Linked DNA regions of Drosophila melanogaster. Changing the gene in region 1 together with any one later gene gives a genetic interaction. Each region holds a gene or a part of one and is shown on either strand. Other genes may lie near its edges.

Region 1 (7,780 bases):
CAATAAAATGCGAGGCGTGAAAGTGCCGCAGGCGAAAGTATTTAACACCAACTACAAACGCACGCACGTCCTGCCGCAGCGGCAGTCAAAAACAAATGGGCAGCGGCGAAAGCAGCAGCCAGGATAATTGCCCCAATGGACGTGGCAATTAACGAGCTGAAAGCCGCAAGGACTTCTCGGCAGGACTCTGGACAATGGGCCGCAAGTTATGCGGCACAAATTGCGAACACTTCGAGGGGCGGAATATTGTTGGCCATGATGGTGGTGGCGATGTTCGTGGTGGTGGGTCGTAAAGTGGCATTGACAACGGATCAGTGGGGCGGGGGGATTATCGGATATACCTGGCGACCACCTCCGAAATTCAATCAACTTCCCTCTTTATTTGTAGACCAATTAATTTTGGCAATCTAGCCGGTAAAAGCCGTCGACCTAAACAAGTGAACCCTGGCCGATAAATCGCATATTCAGGCACTGCGAGAAATATTTGGTAATTCAGAAAAGTGTATTTTAATTGCTTAAGTAAATTGTTCATCTAAGGTGAATTTATAAAAACAATTGCTCTCAAGATAGAGAACAAATTGTATGAAATAATTTAAGCTGACAGCATAAAGTTAATGCCTCAGAAACTAGTAGGTTTTTTTTTCAGTGCCTCGAGGCCGTTTTTCGTGGCAGTCATTTGAAATGCAACTTGCCAGAGTGCAACATTTCATTTTGGCTTGCAAAACGCTCGAGAATTGACTCAACAAAAACCTCGACAAGCAATAAAAATGGCAAAAACAGAGACGAACCGACTACCAAAGCCGAACTATCAGCAAACAAAAAAGCATAAAACTGTTGCGAAAATGCTTCTTTCGGCGAATGTGTTTCGTTTTGGGCCAAACAAAAACTGTGACAAGGCGGCGCAAGGAGTGAGCGAATGGAAAAAATGGCAGGACTAAAACAAATATTCAGCAGGAGGCGAACTTTATTTCGGTTTCAATTTGCGATAAAAACAGCGACAACAGTCGCCGGGGCAGCGGCAAATGAAATTTAACAACTCGCCGAGGAGCAAACTCGAATGGGAAATGCAATGAGAATGGGAAAGGATCAGGCATTGGGACATTGGGGGCGACTTGGCGGCACAAAAGGCGAGCGGACGAGGGCAGTGCATTTCCCTCGCGCTGCAATCGCTGTCGCTGCTTGTTTTTGAACATTCATAATAAATTTTGCGCTGCGAAACTCCTTCGACAGCAAAAACAAAAGGACCTCCATATATATAGTATATCCTTTTTTGCTGGTGCTCCTAGTTGTTTTTTTTTTTTTTGTTCTGTGCCGCCTCCAACCAGTTGAAATGTAACGGATGTTAGAGTTGCGCACTGAAAATTATATATAAACAGGATATGACAGGCAGGAAGCCATTGCCCCTCCAGCCCACCCACTTCGACTACGATTTTCCACCGCCCCAAGTCGAAGTGCATTGCTAAGCTTTTTCCTTACTTTTTTTTGTTTTTTTTTTTGTTCTGTTGCTATCCTTTTGCCCCGCTCTGCTGCTTGAATTTTAATGCCAAATGGCATTCCGGATTCGGCCAGGACTCGTTCTCGGACTAAGGGAACAGTATCAGACCAGCTTCGCATGTGCCGCTGGCCAGGACTAAACGGCTATCAGGGGAAACAAGTTGAGACGCCAGTGACAGGAGTAGCAGGAATTCCAGAATTCCGAGAAGGATATTGTGTCCGGGGGCATTAGTTCATATTTAATGTGAAATGCCTAGTGTTCTGCGAAATGTGTCATGTATATTTTGGTAGTTGATAAGCTTGTTTTAAGGCAAAAACAAATTAACTCTATGGATACCAAGTACTTCGAATATTTCATAGTTGCTATCTTAACAACGATTATTTTTCTTTTGTGTTTATCCCATACAGAAAAAAGTTTCTAAAATAATAATTCACACTATATCAAGCATTCTTAAGGGGAAACCTGAAGAAATTCTCCAAAATAAACGCACACTCTACTGCATTTTAAGTGTTAAGCAGCAAAAACACTCGACTGAATAGCAAAACTATAGTGTAGTTTACGATAAAGTACGGGCACTAGTCCTTTTCGCTATATTTTATGCAAGTATAAGCACAAGTGCAGTGCTCACATAAATCACGCATACGCACTGTGGCACACTGCCTGCCGCAAGAGGAAAAACTATAAATAAGCCAGACGACACTATAAACAACAAGGGAAAGAATGAAGTTTATGGCCCAGAGATGTATAGCTCGTAATGCCCATTTAATTACTCATATGAGAGAGAAAAATATAGAGCGACCATTCTTCACGATAAGCTTTAAAATCAAAACATCAAAAATTCGAATTCCCGGATAAGAATGAGCTATGTGATGGCAGGTCCTTTCCCTCTTATTTATATTGAACAACTTTATCCAATTTCTCGTTTTGCGCTGAGACCAGCACATCGCGCATAAGCACGTACAAATCGCATTTCTTTTCCGCTTCCTGCTTATCCTTTTTTATTTGGCCCTGCATGTGGGCCAGGCTTTGGTTGTTTAGCTGTCAGATTTACTTGTCTCACTGGGTCGTCTGAATATCCTGCAAGCTACCAATGTGAGTGTGGGAGTGTGTGAGCGAGTGAGCGAGTGTGTGTGCCTGTGTGCTATAAATCGACAGCTAAATCTGCAAAAACATTGATAAGACAAGCGACACGCCAATGCGGCCAAAGGCATTTTCCAAACCAAACCAAAGACCCCACTGATTTAACCCAAAATACCAAAACGAACCGAAAATGTTTAGCCAACTTGCTGCGAAATTGCTTTTCGATTTATTTTCCTTACGTATGTAGATGCCCATACATATCCGTGTGTACATATGCATGTCTGACAAATTGGGAGAGAGGTGAGAGGTAAGGCATTGTGACAAATTAGTCTGTGGGCATTTGGTGCCTGGCTGCTGTGCTGGCACAAATTATGAGATCCTTATCCCCATCTCAACGATTGAGTAATCACTGGAGTGGGAGACACACAATGTTTGACCCATTTTGGCTGGGGCATTGGGCCCAATTGGTTTGGATTTGCTTGTTTGAACGAATTTAAAAAAATTGGAAAATCGCAAAATATTTGTACGAAAATTGATGCTGCAATTCTGCTGGAATTCCAATTAGGCGCAAATTAAAGCGTACAAATATTAAAGCATTAAATACGTTTCAATTTATGTTTATAAACCTAAAAAGCTTGCGCTCTTAAATCAGTGCTATATTTCTTTAAAAATCATTATTTTATTATCAAAGTTTATGATCACAAGTTTATGGTTTCTAGATACACAAGCCTAGACCAACTTGCATTTATTTGTTTGGTTAATAGTCTTAAGTAAAACCAAAATTTAAAAACAATTATAATGGTGTCATATGGAGTACTCACCTAATGTCTTGGTCCACTGGGCGGTGGGTCGCCAGTCGGGATAGTGCTTGGGGAAGAGCTCCCGGGTCCAGTAGGTGTGCAAGACGACCTTGTAGACGGCCAGGCGGTCCAGGGTGCAGCCCGTCTGCGGGGCGGGCTGGGTGGCGGGAGGCGTGGCCAGCGAGGCAGTCGGATTCAGATTGGAAACGGGACTGGGATCATCGGTGTAGTAGTAATTACGATTCAGATTGGAATTGGAATTCAGATTGCCGTGCTCAGCGGCAAACTTGATGTTGTTGTCCCTGGACTCGCGTTCATCCGGCTGATTTTCGACACTGTATGCATATATGGATGGGTTCGAAATGAAGGAGGCGCCATAAGCACTAACGGCATTCGCTTTCGAGGATAAGGAGCCGAGAGCCAGAAGGATACACAGCAGCCAGTGAGCCGGAAAGTCTGTTTTCGGTGTCGCTCCCATTTCGTCAAATGTTGCGTGCTAATTCGCTTGCCTTCTGGCGGCTATTTTTGTTTTGATATAATTTATATTTCTCGCTCTTTACTTATCTTTTTTGCTTTTTTTTTGTATTTTGTTTGCCGCTTACACTTCACATTTGCCTTCGGGGGCCGTCGCTTAAAAATAAACGCACACACACACTCGCGGCATTCACATATTTATTTTTGGTTTCTCCAACTTTGTACGCTCTGCGTTTTCTTCACTTTTTGGACTTTTGGCGCGCAGCAAGCTCAATAAATTCGATATGGGTGCGAATGGAGCAAGAACTTGCCACAGATTCTACACAACCGCCCGCGTTGAGAGTTCGTCGCGGACTGAGCAAATGTTGCGGCAGGCAATGAAAACATGGCCCATGGGAGAGAGAACAACGGTGAAGCACTGCAGAAATTGAGAGTGAGAGAGAGAGTGCGGAAATGCGGGAGAATATTAACCATCCTTTGGCAGAGAGAGTAAAGAAATTTCCGTGTTGGGGAAATTCTTATCGTCCAACTGTTGTTGAAGGCGGAGAAAAAAGAAAGAAACAGCCTGTTGAGCTCCCAGCTAACTGGTGTTGCCCGAGGATATTTTTTAGTGCCACTAGGTTGATGTTAAGTTTTATGTTAACTTTTACTGTTCTGTTAACAGCTAGGACTAACATTAAATTATAAAGAGAGTGATAGTTTATTTAATAATCTGACTAATATCTTCTATTTTTATGTCAATTTAGATTTCATTAAAATATAGTTTTTAAGCGTCAATATAAACATACATATAAATATAAACATAAGAGCATTTAACATTACTACTATTACTTATAATTTAATAACCATCAGGAATTTTCTTTTTTTATGTAATAATAAAAGATTTTACTATGTTTCATGATTAATTTGAGTTCCAATAGTTTTTACTGTATTATTTAAGTACTATGTTGATGGATTTTAACCTTCACTTATGCAGTTCAATGACAGAAACTCGAAAATCCCTTATGAGACTGCGAATTTGACTGCCGCCGAACACTTGACTTTTCCCCAGATGAGCGTTAGTTGAACTCCCATTGTTGGCTTAACCCCCAACTGCGATTAACCCCCTGTGATTACCGTGGCTTGTGTGGTGCTTTTCCGCACCACTCCGCTTCTGTTGCTATTATTGTTGTTGTTGTTGTTGTTGTTGTTGCTCTTGTTGCTGGTGATTTCCACAGGCTTAGTCGCATTTATTGCACATTTCCTTTCTGCCAGTTCTGAATGTCAGCGTTAATGAGGCGGGCTTATGTGAATGACGACTATTTACGTATATGTGTGTGTGTGTGCACACATCTATCTCAATCTGCGACTATCAACGAGCATGTGTGTGTGTGTGCGACAGCTCGACTTTTACCATTGTGCTCGAACAATGAGAACAATTTCCGATTAAAACCAATTGAAGCTCTTTAATTGCTACAATTCAATTAAACAACACGCTAATGGCAACACAACGGCCACAACTATCGATTTATTTAGTATGGGGGTGGTGGTCAGCGGTCCGGCATTCTTTCAGAACTCCACTTGAACTCACTGCCGGTAATTGCCATTGACATGTGCTCCCGGTGGCAATTATACCACCCCCACCCCCCCTGGATCCATTGTCCCATCCCTCGGGGAAGCGCAGTCTTCAGGTGGGAGCTTCCCGAAACTTGGACACACACAATTATGTTGCACTTAAATGAGTTGTACGTGTCCTGACCGAATGTCCGTGTCCTGTGTCCTTTATAGATCGTGTCCTGCGATACGCTTGAGTACTTCTCGGCACTCGAAGAAATTAAATTTATTTTTTATCAATCTTGTATAAAATAATATATATTCATTATTCAACTGTATTTAACGAACAGCATGTCTACGTAGTGACGAAAGTCACTATATGTTATCACAGTTAACAAAATTGACTGCTCCTCGTTTTTCCCAGTCTATGTAAATTGTGCGTGCGTGAAATTTATTGCAGTTAATAATAATTGTCCATTCTACTTGAACGACGACCACAACGATAATGTGTAGCCCCAACCACTTGGCCGTGTCTCTAACCGCCTGCGGTCAATTATAAACGGACAGTCCGCCATTTGTCTTAGACATGGTCACTACCAGGTTGTTCAGCTGTCCTTTGGGCCTTTTTATGGGGCTTTAAACGCCGGGCCATTAGTTAAGTGCGTCATACACAAATACACAAGCCCTAATGGAATCCATTCAAATGAGGTGCTAATGCTCGTTTTGTGTAATGTTTGTGACCTAATGCAGGAGAGTTACAATTGACGACTTCGATTTATGGAAATTAATTCCAAATTTATTTTTATGTATTTCTTTTTAAAATAGGTTTAAGATAATATAATATTTACATACTAATTTGTAAAACCATCTTCATGATCGTGAAAAAAACGAATAAATTTTATAATGACACAAACAAAAATGATTTTATTTTATGCGAAAAATTTATAACAATTCTAAGATTAATATTTTAAGCTTATCAACAAAATCAACAAAAATAATCTAAGAGCTCTATAAATTATAATTTATATATAGGTTTTCAATAATGTCGGCATTAACTACTGATGTTTAGAAAACAATGGGAAATTCTCTCCACTGCACAGCGCATGAGTTTTCTTCCTCTCATTTTCCTCACTCTCTCTCTCTCTCTCTCTCCCTCTCTCTCTCTGGTTTTCCCCGGTTTTTAGTTTCGCTCTCACTTCCACCCACCTGAGCAGACAAGATATTTGTGTTTGTTTGTCGGCAAAATACGAATATAATCCATTCAGCCAAAGTAAAATCCCAAATACATGAACCAAAAGGGACAGCGGATGGATTGGCAGGAAAATGTGGAAATGCGGCCCCCAAAAATGTTCTACGCTCGCCTCATGAGCCAGCGAATGGCAAAAATTCCTAATAAAGTTGGCATTTGCCAAACAGACACGTAGACGTGCAGACAAACAGGATCCGTAGACCCCATGCCACATATGTATGCAATTTTCCAAAACCCCCGAAATTTTCCTGCCCAACCTCACCTGTTCCGCTGTCGCTGTTTTATTGAAAGCCGAACACAAAGCAACCAAAATGCCAACCAGCAGCGACTGTTGATGCATCTGGCGTACGTCGGATGCACTTCCTCCTGGAAATCGTGAATGCTTTGGTGGCACATTTGCATAAAAACTATGCATGCATTGCACATATATTCTTATTTATCGCAACAAATCCACTGCATAGAAACAACAAAGGCTGCACACGAATGTCATCGGAAAATCAAAATACTCCGAAGGTCTCGATGAAACATTGATCAATGAATTTGCATGTTGCATGCTGCGTGTTGCAACTACGTTTACCTCACAATGCATTCTGGGCCACCCACAATCATCAGACTTTTGACTCAATTCCTGCTTGGCATTTTGAAGAGGTCGGCGTTTTGGTATCCATGGCAGATGCTCACTCAAAATGCATCTGACAAACTGCATTCCCCTTTCGCAAACTGCATTGGTTTGGTAAATTAGCTATTTTTACCTTTTGGAATGTATGGTAGCAATGTGATAACTTGGCTCTAAGTGAGAAATTAACATTTAAGAACGGTAGCTTTTGATATATCAGGCTGAATAATAAAATATTTCCGTCATGTAGGTAATTTATCAGAAATGTGGTGAAAATTATGTGGTGAAAGGGGGAAGTGAACGAGTTCATTAAAAATTCTTTGGCATCATTCGCTCTTAAGTCACATAATCCAGTGCAACGCCAAAAATTTGTCAGTTTCCGAGGGCTTAGCGCATAATTTATGCTCCTCGGCGTTGGTCAGCCAAAATACATATACATAGATATTATACATATAAATAAATAATATTTACCCATTTCTTGGTTTTGCTGCGCTGGTCAAATATGTATTTTCGCTAACATTTTTATGATGACG
Region 2 (7,605 bases), 1.5 Mb from region 1:
TCACAAGACAGTATTCAACGGCACATGTCCATTTCACAAGTGGAGGAGCAGGACGATGAAACATTGCTGTGGACCAAGCTGGGTGAGGATATCGACAGTGACAACAGAAGAACCACGGATATTGCTCCCGCAGCAGACACTTTGGACGCAGTTAATGCCGAGGACGAAGACATGCTCGATCTCATCGAAACCCCATCGGAATCTGATTCAGAAGCACCAGTGACCGAGAGGTCCAAGAGCATAGATCCCATGAAAGTGGCCGTTAAATCTTTAATGCTGGTGCCCAGTCTGTCGGATATTTCGCTGCCAAGTGCGCCGCCCACGTCAAGAAAGTCTTCCCATTCTATTAAATCGAACAGATCATTAATTTTTAAAAGTTCCCCAACCGATGGCAATTCAAGCTTCGATACCGAAGAGTCGGAAGAAGAATCCACCATTGGCCCCATTGATCCGCGTACTCCAATGGATCAATTGTACGACTCACTATCGATTTGCGAGTCTTTGGCACCCATAAAAGACGAATTTTCAAGAACAACAGCTTTGGAAAAAGAAAGAAATGATTACATGGGCTTTGAACAGTTGTTTACAGTAACAACGGAACACCTTGAAACGGACGAAATCGATGTGGCAGCCCAACTGAGGACTATAGAGACAAGCCAGGTTATTTCTGAATTTATAAACCATTTGATACATAAGGTAGTCATGCCAGAGCATCGGGGTACTGAGGAATATATTCGGGTGCGACTGGACAAAGAAAAGCTGCTGGTCGCTCTGCAGAATGAGGTGCATGATTACACAAGTGTAAGGGATCATAACAAACAGCTGGAGGAGCGAATGGTAGATTACTTCCGACGCACGAAAAACTTCCGATACTTTGACCGCCTAACGCCGAACGCCGAGTCAACCTACTCCCGTCGCCTTGATCACGCCCTGACCTATCTGTCCTATGGTCAAGAGCGCCTCATCAGGGTAAGGGAGAAATATGGCATTCTAATGACCACTGCGTTTTTGGACCTCGCCAACGCCATGAACATCGTTCTCAGCACGGAGCATCATCTCGAGCAGACGTTAAAACGCATCCTGGTTCGTCCGGACGCCGAGACCGATTTCCTCAAGCGCCTGGTTGCCCGCGAACTCCGACTTATGGCCGACCATCGGAATCAAATTAGCGATGCCCGGCTGTTGCTCATGTCGCAGAAACACACCTTGGCCCGCATCTTAGAAGTAGGTATCCAGGATGTTGTCCAAAAAGTTGTCCACGATGTTGAACGCGTTGTTGAGAGATTTTCCGCCATGTTGTCCGCCATGTTATCCTCCGTATTTTTTGTAATGTCATTCGCCATTTTATATGCTATGTTACATGCTATATTATCCGCCATGTTGTCCGCCATTTTATCAGCCGTGTTGTCCTTCATGTTATTCGCCATGTTATCCGTCATATTACATTATATGTTAATCGCCGTGTTGTCTGCCAACTCATGTTACATGCTATGTTATCCGACATGTTATATGCTATGTTAGCAACCATGTTATCCGCCGGTTATGCTCATTCAAATTGTCACATAATGCTATTAAGTTATTCACAATATTTTACAACACATTGCTTCCCACTATCCAGCCATGTAGTTTTTCATTATATTTACTATCACCAATATTGTTTTCCAATTTTTCATATGTTTTCTAATTTGATTGTTTTACTTGTATCAACATACTTTTCTGAAACATCTCCATTTAGAAAATAAGAGATGTAGAAACGGTTTGCGACGGTGTGAGCTTGAATGACTTTATTTCCGTGCAAAACAAAACGATCGGCCTAGAAAAGAAGATTGAAGGTATAGTCCTATGAACATCTCTGCTTAAAATTTGTTCATTATTATATGCATAATAATCATCTCCATCAGAGCGAAATATTGAATTAAAAAGACAGCGCAGGCTCTACCACACCGAACTGCATATGACTAAGCACAATCGAGAGAAGTCCCACGAGCTTAAGAACAAAATTCACGTTCTTAAAGATAACCTGCTGGAAAAGCACAAGTTGAAAAATAAACTAAAATCCGAGCTGTGTCGCCGAAAACTGGAGCACAAGGCTATTAGGCGCCGGATGAGAGATTTGACATGCCAGGGTGGTATCCTGGCTATGCCCGCATTGATGTATGACTACGATCGAACTGTCGCCTATGTTCGTGAAAAGGAGAAAATGGTCTCGAGTCTCCGGGAAACCCTAAAATCACTTACCAATCAGCTGCAAAGTTTGATGTCACCTCGAAAAAAGAGCTCGATTATTTAATAGGGCTATTACCACTTTTCAACCAAATACATTTTTCCACAAAAATAATATAATATTTGTCGTTTATTAATGCTATAAACAATGGAAAATTCAAGACTTCCTAGTCGTAAGCTTATGCATCAATAATAACCCTGAAACGGTAGAGAAAATCTCTTAATGAACCATTATTAATATATATGTATATATATATATATATCCCCCACATTTTCAGTGTCAAGTTTGTTATTTATTTGCCTGCTTTTATTTATTCCATCCATATATATATGTTGAAGAAAACAACAAAACCAAGGGGAAATACCGTTTGGTTGTTCTCATTAATATTTCTAGCAACCAATTGTTGGAAATTTTCAAAATTCTAAATATACCGATTCGGAAATTGGCACGCTTTATTCTTAATCATCCTTTCTGAGCACTATTTGAGTCTAAAATATTGTACACACGACCTGAGTACACTTCAATTAGCCAAAACGAATGAGGAAAATATTTCATTTGCAGACTGCGTCATTTAAAACTAATAACAAATCCATGCTGAATATATTCTGCGTTCTAAGACATATTTTTTCAATAGATCTAACATACAATTAATACAAAATATTTCCAGATTCTTCCATTCCTGCTCTTTGCTTTCAGCATAATAAGCCAACAGAGATCAATTCCACCCACTGACAAACTATAATAAATCGAGAAATTAGAAAAGTGCCAGCTGAAGGCGTGAAATATTCGCGAGAGATGTCTGGTTTTTTTCATTTTTGGCACCAGCATAGTTGCACCTGCAATACATAATGTTGTGTGTGTTCTTTCGTGGGAACAATTTCACGCCTCGGACAGGTGAGTTTGGGGGAAATTCCTTTCGCTACATATAAAATATATGTAAAAGTCAGTGTCGAGATGCCCATCTTGATAATAACTCTGCCCAACGCTGATGTTCTGACCTCGACACGCTTCGATGGAATGTTTCACACATCGCACACACTCAACAGAGTGTGTTTATGTTTGCTTTATAACGTTGATACGATGATGCATATATAGTATATATATATATTCAGCTATATGGCTATAGGTATGAAATTCATTTTTAGAACGCACCATAGGCAGATAAATAAAGTCTGTACACCCACACAAACAACAGCAGCAAGAACGTAGAGAGCTCAAGGTTATAGAGGTGATCGGAAAGTGGAAAACTGGGTTCTTTGAATTACTTTATTGTACTCATAAATAGATTAACTTAGGCGTATACTTAATATAAGGCGACAAGCCTTTGCGTTGCTTTTATGTGTTGTTTTGTGTGAGTGTGTGTTCATTGGTGTTGAGTTTTGCTTTGGTGAGGAATATCATTGTGTTCTTCATGTTTTTCATCATACAAAATATATATGGGTGTGTTCACTTAGCATAAGTGTAGAAAAGGGTGTGGACATCCTGGCCATCCTTTGGCGCTTACTTGCCGAGCAGGATCTTGCGGCCAGCGCCGAGGTTCTGGCCAGCCTGGGTGGCTCCCTTGTTGGAACCGGCCTGCAGACCCACAATGGTCTGGCCAGCCTTCAGCTGCTCTTCGGTGAAATCGCGCTTGCACTCATCGGCGGGCTTGGGGCCCAGGAAGGGACCCTTGAAGTCGGCATGCTTGTAGGTCTGCAATGAGCCGCAATTCAAGGATTAGCCTGGCTGACAATGGGATAGAAGGCGATTTGAAACTTACGGCACGGCCCAAAGCGAAGATGGTGTTGGTAACGTTGGCAATATCCTTCTTCTCGTACAGATCGACGGTCTGGAAGACATCGATGTCGGGCACACCGTACTCCTTCAGGGCCTTCTGGAAGTTGTTGATGTTCTCCATGAACTTGAACTGGCCGCCCGAGGAGTTGACCTTGGGCACGGCATTGGGCGACAGCACGTTGATCAGTTTGCACAGCACCTGACCGTCCTTGAGCACATCCTCGTAGGACTGGCCGGCGGGGAACTTCTCGGCAATGATGGCCTCGATCCACTCCTGGGCCTCCTTGTCCATCTCGGGATTGCGCTTGCTGGCAATCTAGGTGGATCGGATAAGAAAAAATTCATATTTTAGGCACAATATTTCACAAAACTGTTTGGTAATTTCACATTTCTTTCATCTATTTTCCTTTATATCTATGTTTTCTTAAGGATCTTTTTTCTTCACTGATTGAGTATTCACCTTGGCACGAACGGCACGCTCAAGAGACATGTTTGATTCTTGGTTTTTGGTTTCGGGTCCTGCGGGATCTTCACTAAAGCTCTGACAAGCTAACACTGATGCCAGCCAACGGGGCGTATGCGGCTTTTAAAGCGCGAGAGAGCGTTCTCCGACGAATTCGTTCAAGAATTTTCCAAAAATATATCCGAATTCGGAGTCGAGTGTGTGAAAATTTTGCAGCGTGGGCGTTCTATATATTCGAAACGCCGACTTTGCCCGTCTCCCGCGTATGAATCGTGCGTTATAATTTTAGATCATCATCGGTTGAGAAAAAGGAAAAATCCAAATGCTTCATTATTTTCACACATTTCCAATCGATGGTATGTGTGTGTGTGTGTGTGTGCGAGTGTGTGTAGATTGTGCTCTTCAAAGTACTGCTCATTTGCATGTTAGCCGCATTTTTTCGGACTTGCTGTCCTGCTGTCATTTTGAACTCATTTCGGGCGCGTGCATTCGTTGCCCGTAATTTCCATCGGCATGCATTGGGTCATAATTAAAAATGGCAGCAAATTGGTTCCCATCGAGCGACACATCCTCCAGAATTTACAGCGAAATTTATGATGACATGGACATCCTCACAATTATTCACAGTTATCAGATCAGATCAGCGACATGGCAATTTCTTGTTAAAAGGACTTTCTGCATAAAAAGTTTACAAAAATGACATGTACTTATTAATTTTTACTGAAAATGTTTTTCAAATTGGATTTAATTGGTATTTCAAATATATTTGATAATCAAATCTTCCAAAGACACGTCCTTCAGAATTTACAGAGATTTACAAAATGTGAGGAGCATCCTTTGCAATATTCACAATTTAGAACATGCCAATTAGTTTATTAAGAGAATATTCGAAATAATTTCATCATACTACTATCATACTAATGTTTTAAATTTTTATAAATATTATTGAAATATTCATACAATGTATTTATAATCTGATAATGGATATAAATAATGTCTCCAGGAAAAGACGGAGCAATTTGCAAGCTTTAAAAAGTAAAAAGGACAGCGATTACTTTATGAGCGGGAAATTAACTTGAATTATGTGCCTTGTGTTATTGAAAAGCACTTTGTTCGAGGACAGCCATCAGCAAAACATGCCTTCAAAATTAACGAGAGGGCAATAAAGTGAAGAGGCGACCAGTCAAGGCGACTGGGAACTGTCAAAGTTCGTGCCCCCCCACAAAAATTAATATTTTATTAGAGTATTTCGGGGGGGAAAGCCAAACAAACAAATCGCACAGCGACATCTATTTCGGGATGGGGGAAAATCTTTTGCTAGAGCAGATACAATTTCGATAACAGTCGGAAAATCTACGAGATACACGTAAAAGGCGCGACGAATTTGTGCTATGGGTAGCGCGACTATTTCTAAATTCTCGACGCCGAACAGGTGGAGCCGAGCCGAAATAGTTGAGATTTTCCAGGCTTTTCTTGTTTTTCCCACGGCGGAGAAAAACAGATGGCGTGTTCGTTTATTTTTACCGCCTCCTTGGCCCGCGGCACTTCGACGGAGCGTTTTCTTTCTTACATTTTTATTTTAATTAACAAATACGCGGCGAATTGAAGTAAACCGCATTGGTTGCCATTTAAGTGAATTAAATGCGCCGCAGGCTGGGTTTTGACTATTGTCTTCGCAAAAATTTAATTAATGCCCCGCAGCCGGGCGGCCATTTTTCACGGCAATTAAATTATTGTAATTGCATTTGCTGAGGGGTGTGGCTCGTCAAGTGAAAGAATCAAATTCAATTACGCGATGGCACACACCCGATGGTTTTGGAAAGTACTATTACTATCGTCTCCCTTGGATTGCAATTCAAACAAATGGCTGATTAAATGATTATCCGAACCCTGGGGGTCCCTCATGCATCCTCATCAGACGACATCCTCATCAACGTTTGTGCCAAAATTGCACAGAGCAGAGCATTGTGTATGTGTTTGGCCAGGAAAATTAGATTCGAGTGTGCAAACATCCTGGCGGAGGAGAACCATTTTGCAGGCGCTAAGTTAGCCGGGATTATTTTCCCATAAATCAGCATAAAAAAATCCACAACCAGGCCGACGGCCTATGCTCCGCAAAATGGCCAGCACACAATGGTCACAAAATGGCAACGCATATCCGAAATGAAGTCAAGCGAAAATTAGGTCGTTGGGGAGTAAAGGCACCAAAGGGATCCAATGGATCCAATGGCTCCAAAGGATCCGGCTAGCCCTTGGGCCATCCAGCAACCACTTGCTGGCATTTGTGCCGCTTCCGCTGGCTTACAGTGAAGCTGGGCGGAAACGGAAATTGAGTCAAGCGTTTCAGTTTGCAGACTGCAATTTCATTTATAAACAAACACAAAACGAAGAACATTGATTCGAATACAGATACTGGCAACTCGTGCCCCATTGCCAGTGAGTTGGCCGTCTATAAATAGACGCATTATTTATTTAAGCTCAGCATTTAATTGGAAAATCATGCCCAATGTCGTCATTTTGTTAACGAAAATAAACACTCGATTCGCCGCGGTCATGGCATCCACTAGTTATTTATAAGTTTCTCATAATTTCTGTAGACATTTTTCGGCTCCTTGCGACAAAAGCAATTAAATAAATCTCAACATTTTCACTTTGTCGCTCAAAGAACATTCGTAGCACAATGTTGGAGGAATTATTTGTTTTGTATTTAAAATTTTTCCCCTTTTGCCAATTATCGGCTTCTCTAAATCTAAATCTTATAATATAAGCCAAACAATAACTGACACCTTTTCACAAATTTATTTATTGACTCCACACACATTACTTTGTTGCTAATAAAAATATAAGTTCTTATTAAAAATAGTATAGAAAAAGGATTTTATCAAAAAATCAAAAAAGTCCTAGCGCTTAAATTGTATACCTTAAAAAAAGGTGTGCAGTCTCTAGACTATTTTACAATTCATTTGAATTTTGTTTATACTTTTGTTCCAAACTTGATTCAGCAATGATTGCGATGCGGAATCTTTTGAACTTTTTATTTATTAGCTGTTTCTATTCTGTTTGGCTTACGCCCAATATTATTTACCCAAACGTAAAATCCTGAGACGTAAGCCCCCCCGGGTGGCGCCGCCTACACCACCCG

What was found. A genetic interaction does not mean that the proteins touch.
Region 2: of mspo (region 1) and Mp20, changing one suppresses a phenotype caused by changing the other (phenotypic suppression), as found in Drosophila melanogaster (one study listed by BioGRID).

Annotation. Positions count from the first base shown.
Region 1 is NT_033778.4:14,709,416-14,717,195, forward strand, and holds the start of mspo (M-spondin), read right to left. Parts: upstream 4,208-7,780; 5' UTR 3,854-4,207; coding exon 3,397-3,853; intron 1-3,396.
Region 2 is NT_033778.4:13,243,628-13,251,232, reverse strand, and holds Mp20 (muscle protein 20), read right to left. Parts: upstream 4,564-7,605; 5' UTR 4,491-4,563; coding exon 4,461-4,490; intron 4,317-4,460; coding exon 3,984-4,316; intron 3,917-3,983; coding exon 3,729-3,916; coding exon of another isoform or gene 3,725-3,728; exon of another isoform or gene 3,474-3,724; intron 2,422-3,473; coding exon 2,403-2,421; 3' UTR 2,353-2,402; downstream 1-2,352. Other genes in the region: CG4712 (uncharacterized protein), read left to right, coding at 1-1,224, 1,736-1,832, 1,902-2,290.